Ovis aries: one gene and its partners. The protein of the gene in region 3 interacts with the protein of the main gene of each other region in a pairwise test. Links are inferred from orthologs where the notes say so. Each region holds a gene or a part of one and is shown on either strand. Other genes may lie near its edges.

Region 1 (8,447 bases), on a different chromosome or scaffold from region 3:
ATGGGCTCAAAGGTTTCTCCCTTTCATTTACGTTTCCTATAGTATATCATGCCCCATGACCTTACACTGAACGTTCACCTTTCAGATGTCTTTAAAATCTGCATCTATTCTATTCTCTCCAATCACTGGAGCCCCTTCGTGCATTACCAACTTTACATAAGAGTTCTGGCATTATAAAGAGGGGGAAAAAACAGTATCTATAAACACATACTACATGCCAGACACATGGCTGAGAATTTTATATACTGCTCATTCAATCTTTACAGTAGATAGTAAAGAATCTATTATTATATTTTTAAAATCTGTCAAGAAAGCCTGGATTCAGGGCCTGTGATTCCACTACGATTCCTCCAAAGTAATGTGCCTTAGTGGAAGGAACATGATAGCACCTAAGAGGCAAAGCCTAGCTTAATTTATCACCTTCTGATAAACTATGAACAAATCACTTAACCTCTGTGAGCATCAATCTTCTCAAGCGCAAATGAGAGACAAAACTATCTTCCAACCTTACAGAGAAGCAAACTAAACAATGCATGTGAAAACATGCAATGTATACATTATCCAATGTTAAGATATAAATAAAAATCACCATGCCATCTCTGGGAAATAACTCTTATTCTCAAACTTTTTAAAAAATCTTATCTTTATCCAGTTATTTAACAAAAGAATGAATCAAGCGTATTAGAACCAAGGGTACAGCAATCCAAGGAAAACACTTTCATAACCAATACCCACATAAAAATCTCATTAAATCCCCCCCAAAACCAGCCTCAAAACCCTTGATTAGTTAATGAGGCCTTCAACAGGAAAACAAGAGTTGAAGCCTTTTTCAGGTCAGTCAGTCCCATAAAAAACAAAAAGGAAAATAGTTTAGAATGAATATAATTTCTCTCATGCTAGTATACATGTGACAAGGTTGAGATTCAGTAACAGTGACCTTCAGAAATTACTACTTACTGATCCTTGAGATCGGTAAACTGTTTTTCAAGATTGGACATTTCATCTAAACATTCCATTCTTCTTCTTTCACAGTCTTCATCATCCATTTCTGTTAATAAAATGCAAATATCAAAGCTAAAACTAATGTTATGTTCCAAATACATCTGAAGGTTAATTCAAATGGTTAAAGAAAAAAAAAACAGAAAAACTACATTAGGACTTAAACATTTATCAAAAATAATTTCCACTGTAGATTTAATGTAAAATACAGATAAGAGTTAAAACAGTCGCTAGACATTCTTAATTTTATCCGCTTTTTAAAATAATTTTATGTATTTATTTTTGGCTGTGCTGGGTCTTTGTTGCTGTGCGGGCCTTTCTCTAACTGTAATGAGTGGAGGCTACTCTCTGGTTGCGCACACGGGCTTTTCACTGTGGCAGCTTCTCTTGATTCAGAGCACAGGCTCCATGGCGCCCGGACTTCAACAGATGCAGCTCTCAGGCTACGTAGTTACAGTTCCTGGGCTCTAGAGCATAGTCTCAACAGTTGTGGTGCATAGGCTCAGTTGCTTCCTGGCATGTGGGATCTTCCCAGATCAGGGATTAAACGTGTCTCCTGCATCGGCAGGCAGATTCTTTATCACTGAGTCACCAGGGAAGCCTCTTTATTCATTCTTAAATCATTTTATTAAAGGGCTGATGGGGCAGGGGTCCGGTGGTTAAGATGGTGCTCCCACTTGTAAGGGGCACAGGTTCGATCCCTGGTCAAGGAACTAAGTTCCCACATGCTGTAGCACGGCCAAAAAGAGAAAGGTTGACCTTAAACTATGACTATAAAGTAATTAATCCACTTTCAGCTTGTTTTCCACCAACTCACCAGAACTTAAGCACCAAAATGATTATGTCCTTTAAAGGTTAATATTGCTCAAGAATACTTATGGAATTCCACTTATGGAATTCCACTTATGGAATGCTCACACAGATAATTTGCAAGTCAAATAAAAAAAGAAAATTAATCTCATTATGTTTACCACAGAGTATCTTGGTTTCCTACTTTTAGGCTACCACTGTTCCCTCTCCCCAAATTTCTGTCAGTCAGTGAGAAAGCGGAAGGAGGAAGACAAGCAAACTTTTCAAGGAAAACAACTGATAGCTACCAGCTCTCTCCTATATTTCACATTGTCTGTTTTTATCAATACATCACATATAGTTGACAACATCAGAATAACTTAAGCACAAAATGATATTTGTATTGATCATCATCAAATAAAGGTCAAAATATGAGAAAAAATTAAATTATGTCCAGTTACTTTCTACAGCAAGAAAGTATGATTTTTTTTTTAACTTTTCTGAAACAGATTAAAATTATCTCTGGCTCTTAAGAGCTTATTCCTTGACTCTTTAAAATGTGGTCCCTCAAGATGACTCACTCCCTAATATCTCTGGATGGAATTTTTCTGTAGCCTTAAGACTGGCCCAGTACCAAGGCTGGAGAGGAATAAAACTGTGGGAGTTTAACATGCAAGATAAATGGTAGAAAAGAGATACAAAAGCAACATGCAACTGGAAAATCTATTTAATTTCTTTGTGCTTAAAAAATCTGACTTGTGCTTCAAGTTATTATCATATTCTTCATAAATTAATGTGTCCATTATTTGGGGGGATAGAACAAAAGACAGTTAAAAACAAAAGCCCACAAGGATCAACATAAAAATTAGAAAGGCAGAATTTTAGTAAATGTCATTTTGAAAGATCCTGACTCCCATAAAAACAAAAACAAAGAACATGTGAAAATAAAATGTTTTACAGATCCAGAAAACATACTCACATATAGTAGAGATGTTCTCTGTAATCCTCACTTTTGAAATCTCACCTATTTTCATGACTAAGCAGATGAGTTCCAAATTATACTTCCCATCCCAGGCAAGTTCCAATGCCACATTACCACCTGTCAGTTGGGCACTCTGACTCAAATACACCATCAGGACCTCAAAAACAACATGTCTGTAATACTTTATCTTCTATCTTCATCTCAAATCTTTTTTTTTCTATTTTTGTTCAAACGACCACCATTCTCTTTGTATTTGGGTTTTTCTTCTTACATCGACTCCTAAACTGGTAGTCATCAATCCCACTTTCTGCTTTTTCTGAAGTCTTTAACACCTATATCTTTTCCTTTTCTAGCTCAAATCCTTCTCCCAACCAAACTGGTTTTCTCACTCTTCTAAATAAGGCTTAAGCTCTCGCCTTGCACTTTTTCTTATATTCCTTCTTCTATAGAAACACCTGAACTTTACCACTCCAATCCAAATTCCGCCCATTCCTCAAGATAATTAGGTAATCCCACTAGCTTTGGCTGACCATCCTGTACTGAAAAGATGTCCTCTACCTCTCAAATTCTACAGCATTGTTTATAAATAAGCGTTCATTTGGCAATTGATTCAAGTGGTGACCTATGACAGCTGTTTAATTGTGGTCAGATCATAACTATTTATACCATCCACTGAGTAGAACCCAATACTGCAAAAGGAAGTCACTCAGAAACACTTATTCGGGGTGGCTGATTTATTGACTTAAATTACATACTTCCACGGAGGTTTTCTTTGAAAGGGAAGCCTAAAAAAAGAGAGTGTCATGGTGATGATAGGCTGTTGTTAACCTGTCATCAATCCTTGCTTCACATAGCCAAAATCAGGCCAAAACAAAGAAATAAGTCTCATCTTCGTCGTATGGATAGAAGGAAAGGAACCCAGGTAATCATAAATTTCATCTCTTTTTAAAATAACCACTCCTAAAAGACTGCAAAAAATGCTTTATGGTGTTAACCTGCTCCCCCCACCCCCCGCCACTCTACCCCATCCCACTCCCTTCAAAACAGAAAACAAAAACAAATAAACAAACAAAAAAATCTGAAACAGCACAAAGTTAGAAAAGACTGAAGGGAAGAAAAGATTTGGAGAACTTCAAAGCTGCCAAAATCAGCCAGTTATTGATAAGCATATGAAGATCTAAAATCAGTCCTGATGTTGGGCTCTTCTTCTCAGTCTTGAAAAGTTCACAGAAATGATGCAGATGACCCAGCTCCCACGTCAGCCCCCCGAAAGAGGACGAATGTCAACTACTGACTGACACGCTGACTTGGAAGCTGACATTAATAAATTCTAAACCAGCCAAGAGCGAGTACCCTCGGCTCCTGACAACCCACACACGCTGAGAAGGGCTGCAAAGGTGCAAAAATAAGAAGTCGGCGGTGTGGGGAGAGGAGGCATTTCTAGCGTCTCCCAGATAAGATGCGGGACATTTTCCGCTCCGGATAGCCCGAGGCACTACCCGGAGGTCCCAAGGGCGGGGCGGATCGAGAACAGAACCAAGCAGCGTCCGTGAGCTGGACGAGTCCAGGCCCGCGCCCTGCCCCGCTCCGCCCCGCCAACCGGGACCCGCCAGGAGCTGGGCAGCGCCCCGCGAACAGTTTGGGTGCCACGGAGGGCCGGGAGCCAGTCTCCGCCCCTTCCCTCTCTCCCCGCCCCGCTCTCCCAGCAGGACGCAGCTGCCGGCGTGTGGAGAGCGGCCTTTCGCTAGCCTGGCGCGAGGACTCGGGGTCCCAGCCCGCTGGGTCTCGTACCTGAGCTATCTCCATCCTCGGAGACCGACGAGCTCTCGGTGTCTTCGTCCTCGGAGCTGCTCCCCTCGTTTTCGGCGTAGTCCACCTCCATCTCATCGTGATGGTTCGTCTCCTTCTTATCCCCTCGGGAATGGACTGGCATTTTCCAGCCGCGCCGTCGCTTCCCACTCCCGGCGCCCAGCCCGGCCACCGCCGCTTCAATGAAGGGCGCGCCGAACGCCCCGACCCACCCCGCCGCCGAGCTCGTTCAGAACCCCCTCGGCTCCTCCCCGCCCCCGCCGGAGCCTCACAACCTAACCCGCAGGCTCAGCGGTGAGAGCTCTGCCATTGGTGGAGGCAGTCCTCCCGAGCCGGGGGATGGAGCTAATCCTGCTCCGGTCCGGTTGGTTGCCGGTAATTACGGCGCGGCCTCGCGGTGTGTGTCGGGAATTGTAGTCCTTACTGTTCAGACCTGCAGGGGCCGCCGGCTTCGAAGCTTCAACTACCCTGATCGTTTCTCCCCTCTGGACTTCAAATCCCACAAGGCACGAAAGCTGCCAGACTCGGTCGCAGTTTATAAACTAAACAGAAACAGATTGTGAGATTTTGGTCTGTATGTTTTCTTTTCCCGCCAAGTGCTTGTCTGAGCTTCCAGGCCATCCAGGATGTTACTGTCAGATGTGAAAAGGTCTTTTGCCTGAGGGCTTTTCCTCCTCTTTAAGGCTACAGGAACTGGAGAAATGTCTTTACCTAAGCACTTTTATTACCACTATTAAACTATTGTTGAATTAGTTTCTGCGGACAACTTGCATTTTCTATGTTGCACAAAAATCTTTAAATTATTATTGAAACTTTTGCAATATGAAAGGAAAGGAAGCTTTATCTTGGCACTTTTCTCTAGTACGTTTTACATTTTTTTTTTTTTTAACCATATGCGGGTTTCCCTGGTGGCTCAGACGGTAAAGAATCTGCCTGCAATGAAGGAGACCAGGTTTGATCCCTGGGTCGGGAAGATCCCCTGGAGAAGGGAATGGCTATCAACTCCAGTATTCTTGCCTGGAGCATTCCACGGACAGGGCAGCCTGGTGGGCTACAGTCCATGGAGTGAGAAAGAGTTGGACACAGCTGAGTGACTAACACAGTTCCAGTTTACCATACGCGCCCTGAAAATGCCTCCAATCTTAACTAAAGTTTTAAATGAAAAATACATATTTGACTTAATGAAATGTTTTATTTTTTCAATGGTAGGGATGATAGACAAGGAAAACTCATTATATATCCTAATCATAACAACATACTAATTGACCACTTTTACTCTGTATCAGATACCCTAGTAAGTTCTTTACATTACTTACATTGAGTTGAATTCCCAATTTATTAGCCCTGAGTTAGGTGCTATTATACCCATTTTACAGATAAGGAAACTACTTGCAGACAAAACTAAAAACTGTATTTTATCAATTATAAAAACAAGGCTTCTTCCTGAAGTGGCAATTTGCTATTGAAAGAGATTTCATACAATATCGTGGGTTTTAAATTATTTCTTTCTCAAATACAAGGTCCAAAGACATTTGACAGAGAATGTAAGAGTATCCAAGCATACATGCATTAAAGTTAGATTTAGAATTCAATGACAGAAAACATCTCAAGGGCCATCCATCTCTTGGCTGAAATCCAAGTTAAGGGGCTTTTATTATCTAGTGTCAGCCTACTTGTCCTTTTCTTATTGTAGTCTCGAAACTGGACTCATCAGTTGAGAAACAGACGAACTGTTGGCCATTTCAATGTTCTTTGTGTATCCTATTTCTCTGCAACCCTCTTGCACTCCTGTTTTTCAAAGCCACTTTCTTGACAACATTCATCACCAGCAACTCCTCCACCATTCAGTACATGCCCCTGTTCCTTCAGATTAGTGCTTGGCAATGTTGTACTTGTTTGTTGTGGGTTGTTTAGCAGATGCATCTTGCCTATTGGATTGTGAATTCCTTGAGAACAGGGATTGTCTTAGCCTGGGATGCAGTTTCAGAGGCAAGCATGTGAATACATCATGTGAGTGGTGTGGACTAAAGCTGGGTAGCTGCTTTTAGCTCCAGCCAGTTGTTGCTACATCTGAATTTGGGACTAGATGTCAGACCTTCTGATTTTCAAGAGAAACTGGAAATTTAGAACTTTACGTGAAATAACCAGATTTGTAAACATTATTTCAAGTGCATTTTTTGCTGTTACTTTGGTTTGGTTTGGTTTATTAAACTCCAGACCAAACAAAAACAGCTGTGAGTAATATCTGTGGCTTCTGTTAATCTCTGTTATATCAGCAGCTAGCAGAGTATGTGCTAAATAGTAACACTAACTTGAATTTCTGGTCACTCTTCATGTTCCAAGCACAGTATGTGCTTTAAGGACATTAATTCATTTAATCATTATAACAACTCTATGAAGTAGATATAATTATGCCTTCCATTTTGTAGATGGAGAAACTGAAGCACAAAGCAGTTAGGATGCTTGACCAAGGTCACACAGCTAATAAGTAGCAGATTTAAGATCTGAACTTCAGTAGTCTGACCTCAGAGCCTGCAGTCAACTGTCAGTACACAATGTCCCTCTAGCAGATGATTTCTGTGTTTCTGCTGTTTAGAGAAAAACAGAAGGAAATTGGAGAGGAGGCATGGATTCTAGCCCTGGTTCTGCTAGTAACCAGGCAAGACAATTTGGCAAATCATAGTGTCAGACTTTATTTTGGGGGGCTCCAAAATCACTGAAGATGGTGACTGCAGCCATGAAATTAAAAGACACTTACTCCTTGGAAGAAAAGTTATGACCAACCTAAATAGCATATTCAAAAGCAGAGACATTACTTTGCTGACTAAGGTCCAAGTTAAGGCTATGGTTTTTCCTGTGGTCATGTATGGATGTGAGAGTTGGACTGTGAAGAAGGCTGAGCGCTGAAGAATTGATGCTTTTGAACTGTGGTGTTGGAGAAGACTCTTGAGAGTCCCTTGGACTGCAGGGAGATCCAGCCAATCCATTCTTAATGATGCTAAAGCTGAAACTCCAGTACTTTGGCCACGTCATGCAAAGAGTTGACTCATTGGAAAAGACTCTGATGCTGGGAGGGATTGGGGGCAGGAGGAGAAGGGGACGACAGAGGATGAGATGGCTGGATGGACTGACTCACTCGATGGACGTGAGTCTGAGTGAACTCCGGGAGTTGGTGATGGACAGGGAGGCCTGGTGTGCTGCAATTCATGGGGTCGCAGAGTCGGACACGACTGAGTGACTGAACTGAACTGAACTTACACTCTCTGGTCAGTTGTAAAGTGAGAAGGTTGCATTATGTTATCTTTATGTTCTTGTCAAGCTCTAAAATTCCTGTCATTGATGTATTTATGTTTAAGGCAGACAAAATAATGGGAGATTAAGCAATTAGAGTTGCACGAAGATGTATTGCTTAAAAGGAGTTTCTTTCTCCTCTCCCCAAACAGATTTTAGAAAAGATACATAGGAAATGTAAGAGGAACCATAAGAGGAAAAATGAATAAGGCTGGAAAAGAATATTGTCATTTTTAGATAATACAAATTAACGTTAAAAAAAACATGAAAGCAGAATGAAGTTTTTTCAGTTGAGGCATTTTAAAAGGTAGGCATGATGCAATCATTAGATACATTTTAAGTCTCATTTTTCATTAATCCTTAATAAGCACTCATTTATTGAGAGCCTTCTAAAACACATGGTCAGTCATCAGCAAAATCTGCTATATTGTTACCCTTTTCTCTGGAAAGGTCCCTTAACTTTCCTGTTCTAATGGGAACATGGCGCTCCCCTAGGAGCCTTGTCATGGTGTAAGTATGCTTGGTGTCCTCGTTCCTTCTAGATGATCATTTCCACCTCCCTTCCCTAAAAGCCCCC
Region 2 (7,467 bases), on a different chromosome or scaffold from region 3:
GGATATAAAACAACTCTGAGGAAGATGGAGAAAAGTTCCAGATCGTACTTTTATTGTCTGAAAGAAGTTCTGGCAACATCTAATAGTGCTTTGCTGCCCCCAAATCACTTAGTAAATGGGTATATATTACACAGAAATGAGAAGAACAGAACTGAGAATCTTAGCTCTTCCACCTAACTAGCTGTGTGACACTGGGCAAGTTGCTTAACTTCTCCCAGCCTTAGTTTTCTCATCTGAAAGTGGTTATTATTATGAGAGCAGTGAAATAATGACAGGCCAGGCTCAGGGTGCCTGTTGCATAGTCAGTATTGAGTAAATGGCACCTGTAATGATTGTTTTTATTGTCACCATACCAAGAAAAAATCCACGTGGCTAGAAACAACGTGGTACGTACACTGACTCCCCATGTTGGCAACGTTCCTGCCACACCCGCGCGTGAGTACAGTGCTCATCTGTATTCATGAGCCTGCCTCTCACCAAAGACTAAGGGGTCCCTTGATTCTTGGGAGTTTGATTCTTCTTTCCATCTTTATCTGCCCCAAGTCTGGCTCAGTGCCAGATATACAGTAGGTGCTCCATATCTGTTGCATAAGACAAGTAATGAATAAGAGAAGTTCTCTCTTAATAAGTAAAACAAACTTTTTTATAATTTATGTAATAATATCAAATTTAAAAGAATGTATCAGCAAGTTTTTGTTACAAAGCTCTCTTACAGAAGGCAAATAAGTGTCAGTCAAATGACGAGCACCTAAGAGGTTCAGTTTGTTGCTAGGATACAAATATATTAATTTGCTCCCTGAACTAATCGGTATTCTAGTTGGGCATACAAAACAAACATGTAGGAAGATAAACATTGTACAAAATCAGCACCTCTCTCTATAGTATCTTGAACTGCTAATAAATTCTTTTCAACACAGCAAAGTTATTTGATAAATATTATAGAAAATACCCTTATGTAGTATGTGGTGATTTGCTGGTGGAATCATAGAGGCAGTTACTATGTGCAGATGAGGGAAGAATCCAGATTCTAGTATACCTAGTGAAATTGAAATTGGAAGAAGATTAACTGAAAAGAAATGAGATTTTTCTGCAGGTTTTGAACATACCAAACAAAGTTATAGAGATGAAAAAGTGGACATACAGTACTTAGACACATAGAAGTGGGTTAAGAGATTTTAGAATAAGTGAGATATTTTTGTTAAACAGAAGTAGGATTATTTTCTCTATGTGGTGTGGCAAGGGCTGCCTGCCTGCCCTCACTCACACTAGACTCAGCGTGATTCTTTGGAACAAGAGATTGAAATCAGAGTCTCAACTCACTCAACATAGGTTTGAAATGATGAAACGGATATGAAATGATGAAAGAACAAAAAGTTTAGAAAGAGTAATACAGACAAAATGGTGGGGCATTTCAAAAGCGTAACTGTAACAATTCATAGGTTAGATGAAATGTAGAAGGAATTTAATTTTTTTCCAAGGAAAGGATAAATTTAAAAATGCATGGAAGAGAAAGATTGTCAAGTGAAAACAATACTTAGAATCATAGTGTACAAGGAAATAAATAGTAGTACCTGGGGGTACAGTGGAGATTTGAAATGCATCTTGGAAAACTTCAATATAGTTACCTTCCTGGAGTTGGAATTTTTACTCTTGCTTCAGCATTCATTTGATTTTAGTGGGGAGGACTTAACAGATTTAAGAAATACAAATTATTGACAGAAGAAAATAATCCATCCAGTATGTAGACGGAAAAGGAGTTTTCATGTCAGACCAAGAAATGTTAAGTGCAAATATAGGAAGTAGTGTTGTTTACTAAAGTGATAACTAGGAAGCTCCCTTTCTCACACCATCACTGCCTGCTGTGGCAGACTTGTTGCCTTCATTTCCCACTAAAAGATATTATCAAAGACAAACAGAAGCTCAGTATTCATAACCATTAAGTTTTGCTGAATTGCAACTCACTGTTTGCATTGGCTCAGTTTGATGGACGAAAATGTGGCATTAAACCTTATCCTTGATGATCCTGAAGTGATTACATCATTCCTTCTATTCCTTCTTGAAAAGACACAAGAAGCTGGCAGGCTTTTCCAACTGATAAAATTAAACTTCATTAGTCAATATAAAACTATGCACAAGAAAGAAATAGGGACATGAAAACATTAAATCTTTCTAATGGGGCAGAGAGAGTGCTATATACAGATAGTGCTGAATAAACAGTTTTTTACCATATCTCCTTCATGAAAGTATAACCTACTGGAAAACGAGGCAGAGAAACCCTGTCCAGAAACACAGATCCGAAACCACCATGAAAAGATTGTTATTGGAGCCTAATATGGATTTATTATCTCCTGTCAGGCCAAATTCAGATTATAAATTTGTCATCAGTGGAAAAGGAAGCTAGTTGATAGTCCTGTTTTCGAGTTCTTATATCTTGTTTGAAACTAATTGGTAAAATGGAAAGAAATTCTTTCCATAATTAAATGCTCTCAGTTTAAAATAATTTTAAGTTTCAAGAAGGCACTGTACTTAAAAAAAAAATCCCTTTGAATAGCAACCATTTGTTTTAGTCTGAAACTACTATATCAGTGAAATCTATTATGACAGAATTATCGGGATCAAAAAAGGCATTGTAGATGCTACAACTTTAAGTGAATGTTTGATAAATGAATTTGAGGGAACCAGGGGGGAGTAAAGCATTTTCTCCTAGCACAAATGTGTCAAAGAGACAGCTTTATTGAGAAGAGTCCTTTTCAGGTGTGCTGAGTCACTTGGCAGAATGACCGTGACATAAACCACATAAGAATTAAACAACTACAACTCAGTTGTTTGTGTGACTTTTATTTTTGTTTCTGTGGAAATAAAAATCTAGCTCCATTTCTGTTTTCCATATAATTACAGAATCTGTCTACTGACATTAAAAGGTTTTCTTGGAAAAGTTCCTTTTATGAGGTGAACTGGTTTGCTTGGCAGTCATATAAATGCTATCTAAAGGTATTCAGAAGCCCCACAAGATGCAAGTACTATTTAAAAATGTACTAACCAGAGGCGATCTGTCATTTCCTTCCTGTAATGTCCTATCCCCACATGCCCCACCCCACTGTTTTTTCTCCTGAAACACAGCCGCCTTCTATTTCTCCCCAGGGCAGATCTGTTCTTTTTTCTCACTCCCCTGGACCACATATTCCCCTGCTGACAGTTCTCAGTGGGGACTTGTCCTTTACAGTATAGGTATTTGGGTACTTACTTTCTTTTCAAACTTGTAAACTCTTTGAAGGACAGAACTATTGCCCCTCAATGCTTCATGTAGTTTCTTGTACACAGCTGGTAATAAATATTTACCAAATAGATAACTATTTCTCTTCGTGTATTGCAGGTCATCTAGAAGACCCCTACTTCATTCAGCAAGAGGAGCGGGAGAGATTTATTCTGGATGGTAGAACAAAAGGAAGAATATTGATGGATTTTAAACTGCAGTTTTTAAAGCACTTGAGAATACTGAGGAAATAACTTCTTCTCCTGCACTGCATATATACGTTAAGGTGCAGCTGATGCAGCTGAGAAAAATGCAGAGCATCAAGAAGGAGCAGGCATCTCTTGATGCTGGTACCAGTGTGGACAAGATGATGGTGCTTAATTCTGCCTTGACCGAAGTCTCCGAAGACTTGACGACAGGGGAAGAACTCCTTCTCAGTGAAGGAAGTGTGGGGAAAAACAAGTCCTCAGCATGTCGGAGGAAACGGGAATTCATTCCCGACGAGAAGAAAGATGCCATGTATTGGGAAAAGCGGCGGAAAAATAACGAAGCTGCCAAGAGGTCCCGGGAGAAACGTCGACTGAATGACCTGGTTTTGGAGAACAAACTCATTGCACTGGGAGAAGAAAACGCCACTTTAAAAGCTGAACTGCTTTCCCTAAAATTAAAGTTTGGTTTAATTAGCTCAACAGCCTACGCCCAGGAGATTCAGAAACTCAGTAATTCTACAGCTGTGTACTTTCAAGACTACCAGACTTCCAAATCCACTGTGAGCGCCTTTGTGGATGAGCATGAGCCCTCGATGGTGGCCAGCAGTTGCATTTCTGTCATCAAGCACTCTCCTCAGAGTTCTCTGTCTGATGTTTCAGAAGTATCCTCGCTAGAACATTCACAGGAGGGCCCTGTGCAGAGTGGCTGCAGAAGCCCAGAAAGCAAGTTCCAGGTCATCAAGCAAGAGCCAATGGAACTGGAGAGCTATGCCAGGGAACCCAGAGATGACCGGGGTGCCTACCGAGGGGCCGTGTATCAGAACTACATGGGGAATTCCTTTCCCGGATACTCGCACTCTCCCCCTCTGCTGCAGGTCAACCGGTCCTCCAGTAACTCTCCGAGGACATCGGAAACTGATGAAGGTGCAGTAGGAAAGTCATCCGATGGAGAAGATGAGCAGCAGGTTCCCAAGGGCCCGATCCACTCTCCCGTCGAACTTCAGCGTGTCCACGCCACAGTGGTTAAAGTTCCAGAAGTGAATTCCTCTGCCTTGCCACACAAGCTTCGGATTAAAGGCAAAGCCATGCAGATAAAAGTGGAAGCCTTCGATCATGAGTTTGAGGGCACACAAAAACTTTCCTCTCCTGTTGACATGACGTCGAAGAGACATTTCGAACTCGAGAAGCATACCACCCCCAACCTGGTACATTCTTCTCTCACTCCCTTTTCAGTCCAAGTGACTAACATTCAAGATTGGTCTCTCAAATCTGAACACTGGCATCAAAAAGAACTTAATGGCAAAATTCAGAGTAGTTTCAAAACTGGAGTGGTGGAAGTGAAAGACAGTGGTTACAAAGTCTCTGACCCAGAGAATTTGTTTCTGAAGCAGGGGATAGCAAACTTGTCTGCAGAGGTGGTCTCACTTAAAAGACTTATAGCCACACACCAAATCTCTGCTTCAGACTCTGGGTAAAATTACTACTGAACAAGCTCTGGGCCTTTAGAGATGTCATTTGCAATAGATGAGTACGTTTTGTATTAGGCTGAATTTTCACTGGACCTGTGATGTCATTTCACTGTATAACATTCACATGTTGTCTGTTGGGTGTCTTTTTGTGCACAAATTATTATGAAGATTAGACTGTGTTATCACTCTGCCTTGTGTATAGTCAAATAGTCCATCGCAAAGGCTGTATATATTGAACGTTATTTTTGTTGTTCTATTATAAAGTGTGTAAGTTACCAGTTTCAATAAAGGATTGGTGACAAACACAGAACTTTTGCTCCATTGCACTTAGTTTTATGGGAAAGAAAGCAATTTAAATAACAAAGTGGATACTGTATTAAGATACTCTGCATTTTACTTATTTGGAAGAGTTTTCTCCCACCTGTAGTAAATGAAAGTCACTCTTTGTGACCCCATGGACTGTAGCCTAACAAGCTCCTCTGTCAGTGGAATTCTCCAGGCCAGAACATTGAAGTGGGTAGCCGTTCCCTTCAGGGGATCGTCCCAACCCAGGGATCGAACCCAGGTCTTCCACACTGCAGGTGGATTCTTTACTGTCTGAGGGAAAACTAAAACATAAGTTCAACACATAATTTTCTTTTTCTAGTTTGGTCCAGGGTATGGTAAGTTTGAAAACCTTCCATAGGAGGAGAGTAGAGAAAAGAGGGTGGGGAATGCATTTTCTTGCATTTGAGCCTAGTAATTTACTAAATTACTCCCTGTTATATATTTTTCTTTAAGGTTTCGTTTTCTATATCCTTTTTGTTTTTAAGTAGAAAAACCCAAGTTGTTTAGCATCAGCATGTCTTTAGTCATCTCTTTTAAGGATGACACATGGAAGTGAATAGTTGAGTCATTGACCCACTTTGTTATTTAGAGGTTCTATTAAAAGAGTGGATTAAAGACTAAGGATGAAGTCATTTTTATGTTATTGTAAATCTTAACAGTTCCAGAGTATAACAGTCTAGGAAATTAACCTAGTGAAATACTGTTTTTACTTAGTTTCCAAAATTTCAAAGAACACATCAATGATCACATTTCATCATATTCAACCTGAATATATGTAATGACTTGGCTTTTTACAGTTTGTTAATGATGACTATAAATAATAGCTCCAGTTTGGAAACTATAATATAGACGTCCAGAAGAAAGCATCATTCTAAGTAAACCAATGACAAGATCATGACTGATGATTGGTCCAGGATCCTCAGTCGTCCCATAGAAGTAAGTGTCCTTAAATACAGACAAGTGTGTCTTCTGTTGCAAGGTGGGACTGGCTTCTGGGTAGGCTGGAAGGGGTGAGTGGATGTTGGTTAACAGCTTCCTCCAGAGCTGTTCTCCTCACCAAAGCCTCTCCAGAACTGTTCCCACGCTGCCTTCTTTTTCATCCTAGAAGTATGTGTGTATGCCGGGGGCATAGGGAGGGGGTCTTGAGGCTTCATAATACATGTGAAGGATGACTTAGCCCTCACTCTGTTACGCATATCTCCCAATTATAACATCCCAGTTTAGAGGGCCCCTGCCCTTTTGACTGCCTGATTTTTAGTATTTTAAACTTCCTACACTTTTACATTTTAAAGAGAGATCCTTTGAGTTAAAGGGAATGCTGGGACACACACACAGGCCATCCACTTTGTCCTCTTGGACACAGTGACCAGTTTGCTCTGAAATCTCCTGACGCCTAGGGAATGTGTTGCCAGTCTCAGCCCTTGGACTTGTCTTTTCAGCACTTTTTAGTGACTGAATGAGGCCCAGAGGGACACCTATATCATCTGCAAATGTTACAGGGCAGAGGAGGGTTAAGATACTGGATGGTAGTCGACATCCAAAAGCATTTCACAGCCTAGAATGGATGGAATGACTATAACAACATGAATCAAAATAGGACAGGGTGTAAAGTCAGGTTCCTGTGTTAAGTGGGAAAACAAAAGGCTGTCCAAGTTCACAACTGGGGAGAAAACAATAACTCCACATGGAAGAAAAAAAGCTCTAGTTCCCTTCAGCACGCCCAGTGGAGTGCTGGGCTGTGTCGCACTCGAGGCTGTGTTACCTCCCCTGTGAATTGCTAACGTTAGCTATTGTGGTAACTATATTGCATCTGGACGCCCCCCTCCCTAGTCATTTTGTCTTATAATTTCAAGCATCTAAGATTCAATGGACATGAGTTTGGTGATGGACAGGGAAGACTGGCATGCTGCAGTCCATGGGGTCCTAAAGAGTTGGACACGACTGAGCGACTGAACTGAAGACATGGCTAGGATATTTAAAATGGTACTTCTTAAGCATAAAGGAGGACAACAAGGACCTATTGTATAGCACATGGAACTCTGCTCAATGTTAACATGGATGGGAGGGGAGTTTGGGGGAGAATGGATGTATGTATATGTATGGATGAGTCCCTTCACTTTTCACCTGAAATTATCACACTGTTAATCAGCTATGTGTTATGCTTAGTCATTCAGTTATGTCAACTCTTTGCGACCCCATGGACTGTAGC
Region 3 (7,721 bases):
TTACAGGTGTCTTTCCTCCCTAACTAGCCCAAGAATTCCTCTTTGTCTTCCTTGGAAAATCCTCTCCGGAGCCACGGTCTGGCTCTCACTTAGAAAGAATGCAGCCTGCCGTCCAGCCCGGTGACGTCAGCGCTGGGGCATTTGGAAAACAAAGAGGGCTCGGGAGGGAGGGGGGAGGCGGATCCACGACGCTTAAAGACCTCTCCGGACCGCGGCTACCGTCGTCCGCTCCAGGCGCTGCGGCAGCCGCAGGGTGCTCGTGGTCAGCCAGGAGTCCGGGTAGGGCGGGATCCCTGGCTGGGGTGCGATCTGACTTAAAGACCCTCGCTTTGGTTCCTTGGGCCGCAGTGAGCCAAGGTAAAGGCCGGAGTTGTGTGGTTGCTTCGAAGCGGGTGTTTCAGAGAGCCCAGCGCGCTAGCGCAGCAGGGGTGCACGATCCGGGTCGCGGGCGCGGATTTTAGTAACAGCTTAGCTGTGTCCATCTGAGAGATCTGACTGAGACAAACAAGGAATGAAAGGCGCGGGAAGTGCTCCCTGCTCCCAGGCACACTGTTGGGGGAGGAGGAGGGCTGGAATCTGTCCGGAAAACTGCATTCCCCGGTCCTCGGCTGGAGTCAGCCCAGACAGTGTTTAACTTAGGAAATGCCCCGTGGATGAAACGCTAGGGCGAATTGATTCCTGTTTGTTTTGCCTCGGGTAACTCTAGAGTCTTGCATCTTCTGTGTGTGTGCGCGCGCGCCCCGTATATGTGTGTGCCCCCTGTGTGTATGTGTGCGCCCCCTGTGTGTATGTGTGTGTGTGGCGGGGGCGGGGGGATAGGGGGGATGATGTGGTCCGGGAAGTCTGAACACCGAGATGTCCTCTAGACCTATCTCTCCCCAGTTCTGGGCAGCTGGGAGGAGGGAGTGGGTTGGGAATGGCTGCTCTGCCAGCCAGCCAAGCCCTAACTGGAGCCGGGCATTGGGGCTAGCTCTGTGGCAAAGGAGGGGCCACATTCCTCCCACTGTCCTCCTATATACACAGGACCTGTGGAGGTGTGGGTTTTGTTTGGTCTTCCCTGAATCCCAGTTTGGAGGTTTGTGTTGGAGAAGGCTGGGGAAAGGAATCCAGGTGAGGCGGGCAGCCTTCCAGGCCATGGGCCACTGGGAGCACAGACTCAGAAGGGAACACCTTCCTCAGGAGACAATCTCCCTGCAGAGTCACCAGCCCCGGGTGCCCGCAGCTCCCGCACTCCTTCAGTCAACTCAAGCAGTCTTACCCATGTAGAGATGCTGAGTGCCCATCCCCTCGTACCTAGAGGACCAGCAGGCGCTTCCAAGGAGCAAGTGTGTGTGTGGCTGGGGTGGTGATCATAAAATCAGAGACACCGTGCCAGCCTTTCTTTTTCCTGGAGCACGTGTGCGCTCACTGTCAGTGCACAGACTGTGTGCCTGGCCCACAAACCTTGATGAGCGGCACCTTTTTGCCTCCTTTTGCAAAACCACTCTTGGTGTAGTCTGTCTCATCTTTCATCCCTTATTCACCGATCCAGATGCATTTTCTCCTTCCTGTTCACCTTGCAGAGTGACTGCCAAGGTCATCCCATGACAGAGAGGGCTCTGCAGGGTAAAGGGTTGTGAGTTAGCTGTGCCAAGGCCATGGTTCAGGCATGCTTCGTGCTGTGGGGGCTGTTTGCCTAGGGCTTCTACCGGGCTGGTGTGTGCATGCGTGCATGCTCAGTTGTGTCCAGTTCTTTGCAACCCTGTGGACTGTAGCCCACCAGGCTCCTCTGTCCCTGGGATTTTTCAGGCAAGGATACTGGAGTGGGTTGCCATTTCCTACTCCAGGGAATCTGCCTAACTCAGGAATCCATCCCATGTCTCTTGTGTCTCCTGCATTAGCAGGTAGATTCTTTACCACATCTACTGGGCGGGACTCATGCTTTATCACCTGTGATAAAGTAGAGGTGGCGCAGTGGTAAAATACCTGCCTGCTAATGCAGGAGACACAAGAGCTTAGTGTTTAAAGCTGAACTAGGCCTGCCCTGGACTTTCTCATCAGGTTCTCTGATGGGAAGCTGACTATAGGAGCCTAAGGTTCCTGGTGTCTAGGTTCCTGGTATCTCTCTCTAGGCACAGTAAGCCTCCATGAATATGATTATAATGGCAGTCCTTTGCCAAGGATTTACAGCTCACTGGGAGCTCAATAGCCATTGCCTCTTAATTCTCAACTCCATGAAGCTAGCATTATTTCCCTATTTCCGATGGAGAAACTGAGGCTCAAAGGTTAGATGACTTTCCTGAATCAGCAGGTGGCAGCACTGGCAGTCTGACGGGCATGTGTGCCCCTTCATCAGACAGTAGTGGAAAGTCCCCACTTTTCCCATGTGCTCCCACTGAGTGCTCTTCTTTTTCTCCTCCTCAGGTGCCCTGGGGCCAGGTGCCACTGGCCTTTGTCCAGGTGGGTGTGTGCAAGCCCGGGGAGCATGAGGACGCTGGAAGACTCCTCAGGTACGGTCCTGCACCGCCTCATCCAGGAACAGCTGCGCTATGGCAACCTGACTGAGACCCGCACACTGCTGGCCATCCAGCAACAGGCCCTGCGTGGTGGGGCCGGGGCTGGGGGCACAGGAAGCCCCCAGGCCCCCATGGAGATCATGGCACCAGAGGACAGTCAGGTGCTGCAGCAGGCCACGAGGCAGGAACCCCAGGGCCAGGAGCACCAGGGCACCGAGACCCACCTGGCAGAGAACGGCCTCTACCGCCTGTGCCCGCAGCCTGGCAAGGGCGAGGAGCTGCCCACCTATGAGGAGGCCAAAGCCCACTCACAGTACTATGCCTCCCAGCAGGCGGGGCCCTGGCCACACGTGGGGGACCGGGATCCCCGCGGGCCCCCGGGAGGCAGCCGGAGGCAGGATGAGGCCCTGCGTGAGCTGAGGCACGGGCACGTGCGCTCCCTGAGCGAGCGACTCCTGCAGCTGTCCCTGGAGAGGAACGGGGCCCGCACCCCCAGCCACATGAGTGCCTCTCACAGCTTCCCCCAGCTGGCCCGCAACCAGCAGGGCCCCCCAGCCAGGGGCGCCCCCACTGCCGAGGGCCCGGAGCCACGAGGACCTCCACCTCAGTACCCACACGTCATGCTAGCTCACGAGACCACCTCTGCCGTCACTGACCCGCGGTACCGTGCCCGTGGCAGTCCACACTTCCAGCATGCGGAAGTCAGGTAACTGCCCACTTCGGTCTTCAGGCTCTTGGCTTCCTTCCAGTGTAGTTTTCCCAGGGTGAAGAGCCTCCAGGAGGCTGGTGAGCTCCAGAGGAAGGCTGATGATACCCTCTCTGTCCCAAGATGGGAGCTAATGCTGGAAGGAAAGAGGGATTTAGCTAGGGTCACATGAGAACTTAGCAGCATCCCTTGCTTTAATTGGCTGTAGCCTTCAAGTAACTAGGGTTCTCAGGGGCTGTCAATTAGAGCAGGGAGCTAAAGGTTAGATTTCAGAAAGAACTTGCAAGGACTACAGTTGGGAATCTTTCCCAAGTTAAGTGGGAAGAAGGTGAGACCTCCTCTGGAAGCTTCTAAAAACAGAAGAAGTCTTTTCTTCCTTGCTGTCCATGATTTTTGGGAGGCATTCCTCAGTGGGGGCAAGAAAGAAAGGACCAGATGGCCTCCGTAGAGATCTCTCCTCCCCTACACAGGGGTGGGAGCTGCCCTGGAACTGCCATTCATTTCCGTTCATGTTCTTCTGTGTGGTCCATGGGGCAGGAGCCTGGGAGAAGGTTCTTGTTCCAGAAGCCCCTTTATGTGGAGGCTCCAGAGTAGCTGCGGGGGAGGGGTGGTGGGGGGACTCAGCTTTTAATTCTGAGAGCAAAGGGAAGCCTTTAGAGGATGTGATTTGGCATCCCTTTTCAAAAAGGTTCCTCTGTTTCTTGTAGAGAATGGATTCTAGGGGCATGAATGGAAGCAGGGATGCCCAGGAGGGGCAGGAAGCCCAGAGAGTTTTCAGAAATAAGGTTCCTAGAAATGAGGCTCTCGTTTGGCCCAGGACCTTCTCCTGAGAAGCTGGCACACGCCCTTTTCACACGCCCTTAATTCCCCCCCACCCCCCACCCCACACACAGGGGTCCAGGAAACCCCAGTGGAGGGGCCTGAAGGCTTGCAGGCCCCCTTCCTCTGGTGCCCCAAGGTTCAAGTCTGGTTTTCTTCGTGCCTGCTGAGTCCTCATTTAGTCACCTGCTTTGCCACGGTGCAACCTTGCCCGGGAAAGATGCCTTTCTCTGCTCTCGAGAAATGAGTGACGTGATGGCTCTGGAATGGAGGCGCCAGAGGACTGAGCCTGTGGGGTTTTGCCAGCCTCAAGGCCCCCCTGCCTTACCTCCCTTCTCAGGGCTTGGTCCTGGAAGAGTTTCAGAAGCTGAGTCGTAGTTTCTTCTTTGGACCATGCTCACTGAGCCCTGTCAGGAAAAGATAATGTCGTGGAAAGGAAGTCGACTGTTTGCTGGAGAACAAAAAAAGTGGGGGAGTGGGGGGTGGGGAGCAAGTGTGAAGGAAAGGAGGCTCTATTCTCTCGGAGAGCCCAGTCATCCCCAAAGAATGCCATTTGTGTCTGCCTGGCTGGGAGCAGGGGAGCCGGTTGGAGGGAGCCACATTCAGCAGCGCAGGGGGAGTTTGCATATTCCAGTGGGGTACCCTCTCAGCTCTCACTGGAAGCTCTACCTTGGACAGGAAACGAAATACATCTGCCAGCTTCTCCTTCAGCCAATCTGGTGAAGACTGTTTGCTGGGAACTGGCAGTGGGACTTAGCCTTGGGTCTAAGAAGAGCAGGGGAGCTCGAGTCTGGAAGGGGAAGGATGAGGGCACAGGCAGGCATGGGTTCTGAGGCGATGGATTCGTCTGCAGCTTCTGGGACTTGGGAAAGCTCCTGGTGAAACTGAGGCAGTCTAATTCTCTTACATCAGAGCCACAGGGCCCCAGAAAAGCTGTGTGACCCCATATGCTTGACGGTGGGACCTTGAGGGTGAAGACCTTGACACGGGACCCCAGTATCAGAGGCCAGGAGAACACTGTCCCTAACCTCAGGCTATTGTAATAGTTAACAGGTGGTCCCTTCACCCTGGATAATCCACTGTTTGGGTCACATTTACTCTCTGAGCAGAGAGTAGGCTGTGGTCTCCACGAGAAGAGACAGAGGGTAGGCTGTCACTGTGGAGATGCCCACTGCAGGCCCAGCACTCTGCCAGGCAGATGTGGCCTGACAACCTGCCTGAGGCTAGAGACTCTCACCCTCCGGGCTGAGCATGGGCCCGTGCACCATGGCCTCAAACACTGGAGCCAGAATTTGAATGCCTGATCTGTCAGACTGGAGCCCAGACTCAGGCTGACATCTGTCTCACCACTCTAACCTTAGCCACAGTCTTCTAAAAATGTTTCTTCAAGGGGTGACGGGACTCAAAATAGGAGGGAGAAGAGGCGAGTGTGCTGCGTGGGCAGGTGTGCATGGAGGGCCTGACACCAGCAATGAGAACAGACACAGGGTAGCTGCTGGGGCCCAAGGGCCTGGAAGGTTGTGAGTTTCAGTCATGATGAGCGTGACCTCCAGATTCAAAAAGAGCTGCCTATGGCTGGGACCATTCAGGCTGATCCCCAAGGCCTGGACCACAGGAGGCTGGGCATGAAATACGTGTGCTGACGGTAATGCCCTGCAGCCCTGCTTCCCTGGCCCTTGAAGGTCTTGGGGACACCATGTGGAAAGGCCTTGCCTAGAGGTTACTGCCTAACGCTGCAGGAAAGCGGTCTGCCTGGGAGGACTAGGGCAATTCTTTGTGGCTCCGTGGTCTCTGAGGACCGTCCCTTCTGTTCCCCAGGATCCTGCAGGCCCAGGTGCCCCCTGTGTTCCTCTCGCAGCAGCAGCAGCAGTACCAATACTTGCAGCAGCCTCAGGAGCGCCACCCGCCCCCACACCTGGCCGCCCTCAGCCCTCCTGGGGTGGAGGGCCCGGCAAGCACCCAGGCCTCTTTGGCCACCTCAGGCGGTGCCCACCTGGCCCAGATGGAGACTGTGCTAAGGGAGAACGCCAGGCTGCAGAGAGACAATGAGAGATTGCAGAGGGAGCTGGAGAGCACGGTGGAGAAGGCTGGCCGCATCGAGAAGGTGAGCCCTGCTGAGGCCTCAGAGAAGCAGCAGGGGGCAATAAGGGAACCCCAACAGGGCTGACCAGGGAGGGGGCTGTCAGAAGGGAAGCAGAGGAGTCTAAAAGCTGGTCTGGCTGGGCTTCTCAGCTGCCCCTGGGGGACCCCCCCCCCCCATCCCTCCTGCACCCTTCCCTGGCTGACTCCAGACAGCTGGGGAGCAGCCGGCAGAGCAGGCCCAGAGCACGAGCAGTTGCTGCCCAGTGGTGGTTAGAAAGAGCCCATTCACCGACTCCCTCAGGGTCTCACCCTTTCCCTGCACACGCCCCCTCCCGTGGACACCTCCCACAGAGAGCCCTTTGTATCCCCCACACAACAGCAAGTCTGTTCCAGGCCAGCCCTGGTCACAGAGAAAGCCCCTCCTCTTGGCAAAAAACGAGCGACTTATTGGAATCATGGGCCAGCTAGGAGCACGTGCAGAACCTGCCAGCTGCCAAGTGGGTGGGGCATCCGGGGCCAGGCTGGCCCTGTTGGGGGATGGCTGGAGAGGCACATACTCCAGGCAGCTCAGGCTGGCTCCGGTGCTGAGCTCTGAGTGAAGGGGCACCAGCCGTGCACTCAGCCTTAGCAGGTAGCCTTAGGCTTTCTGTGACTGTGCGTGGTCTCCAAGATAGGTCCACCCCCACAGACCACAGTTGGAGCCTCAGTGCCTGATCCTGGTCCATTGTGCTCAAATTTCTCACTAGAAGCCAAAGAAAAGGAAAATGCTTCTTTCTGGACACTAGGCACCAGGGAGCTGCCCTCAGTCACCCTGGATGCAGCTCCTTTCAGAGAACGTGGCCTTGTGTTCACTCAGCACCTTGGGACAGTTGAAGGGACCCTGGCTTGCCTGTTCCAGCAGTCTGATCCCTCTCTGGAGGCCACAGGCTGCAGCCTGTCCCTCTCAGGCTAGGTGGGTTTCCGCTGTGGCTTTGTCTCTTCTCTCTCACCCTTTCTGATGGAGAGTCAGCAATCAACCCTGGCCTAAGGAGGGGACATTGATCCCATTGCCACCCTGGGAGCTCTCCCCTTCCTTCAGCTCTGCTCTCTGCCTCTTGCAGCTGGAGAGCGAAATCCAGCGGCTCTCCGAGGCCCACGAGAGCCTAACAAGGGCCTCTTCCAAGCGAGAGGCCCTGGAGAAGACCATGCGGAACAAAATGGACAGTGAGATGAGGCGGCTGCAGGACTTCAACCGGGATCTTAGAGGTGAGGACCGCTCACGCAGGTGGAGGGACAGGGACCACCTATGGACAGCTTGATTCCACTGTTCTAGGACATCATTCAGAATCTCTTGCCTCTGCGAAAACAGTACAAATCAGTTCAAAGGGGACTCGGCTGAGACTCCTTGGGGGCCACCTCGATAGAGAGATGCTTGTCTCTGTGTTCTAGACCTTGGGGCCCCTCCTGGAGCTCTCCCCCGTGTGGCCCAGGGTGACCCAGGGCTTCCCTATGAGCCCACCCCCAGCTTGGAGAATGTAGCCTGACAGACAGTTCCCTGGGGAGGGGTGCACCTTGGCAGGCAGCTTCACCTGCGCTCAAACCTTTTTCCTTAAAACGTCTTTTCTTCATTTGAAACAGAA

The links. The genes of interacting proteins can lie anywhere in the genome.
Region 1: the proteins of AMOTL2 (region 3) and BRMS1L interact in binary tests that used the Homo sapiens proteins (3 or more experiments, as listed by UniProt). The two-hybrid records come from large-scale screens. The link is inferred for Ovis aries from reciprocal best matches to the Homo sapiens genes AMOTL2 and BRMS1L.
Region 2: the proteins of AMOTL2 (region 3) and NFIL3 interact in binary tests that used the Homo sapiens proteins (3 or more experiments, as listed by UniProt). The two-hybrid records come from large-scale screens. The link is inferred for Ovis aries from reciprocal best matches to the Homo sapiens genes AMOTL2 and NFIL3.

What each region holds. Positions count from the first base shown.
Region 1 is NC_056071.1:43,745,674-43,754,120, reverse strand, and holds the start of BRMS1L (breast cancer metastasis-suppressor 1-like protein), read right to left. Parts: upstream 4,831-8,447; 5' UTR 4,704-4,830; coding exon 4,562-4,703; intron 1,052-4,561; exon of another isoform or gene 1,049-1,051; coding exon 958-1,048; intron 1-957. UniProt on the Homo sapiens protein: Involved in the histone deacetylase (HDAC1)-dependent transcriptional repression activity. When overexpressed in lung cancer cell line that lacks p53/TP53 expression, inhibits cell growth.
Region 2 is NC_056055.1:26,457,106-26,464,572, reverse strand, and holds NFIL3 (nuclear factor interleukin-3-regulated protein), read left to right. Parts: upstream 1-3,548; coding exon 3,549-4,937; downstream 4,938-7,467.
Region 3 is NC_056054.1:255,605,561-255,613,281, forward strand, and holds part of AMOTL2 (angiomotin-like protein 2), read left to right. Parts: intron 1-220; exon of another isoform or gene 221-357; intron 358-2,403; 5' UTR 2,404-2,464; coding exon 2,465-3,201; intron 3,202-5,838; coding exon 5,839-6,124; intron 6,125-7,202; coding exon 7,203-7,347; intron 7,348-7,719; coding exon 7,720-7,721. UniProt on the Homo sapiens protein: Regulates the translocation of phosphorylated SRC to peripheral cell-matrix adhesion sites. Required for proper architecture of actin filaments.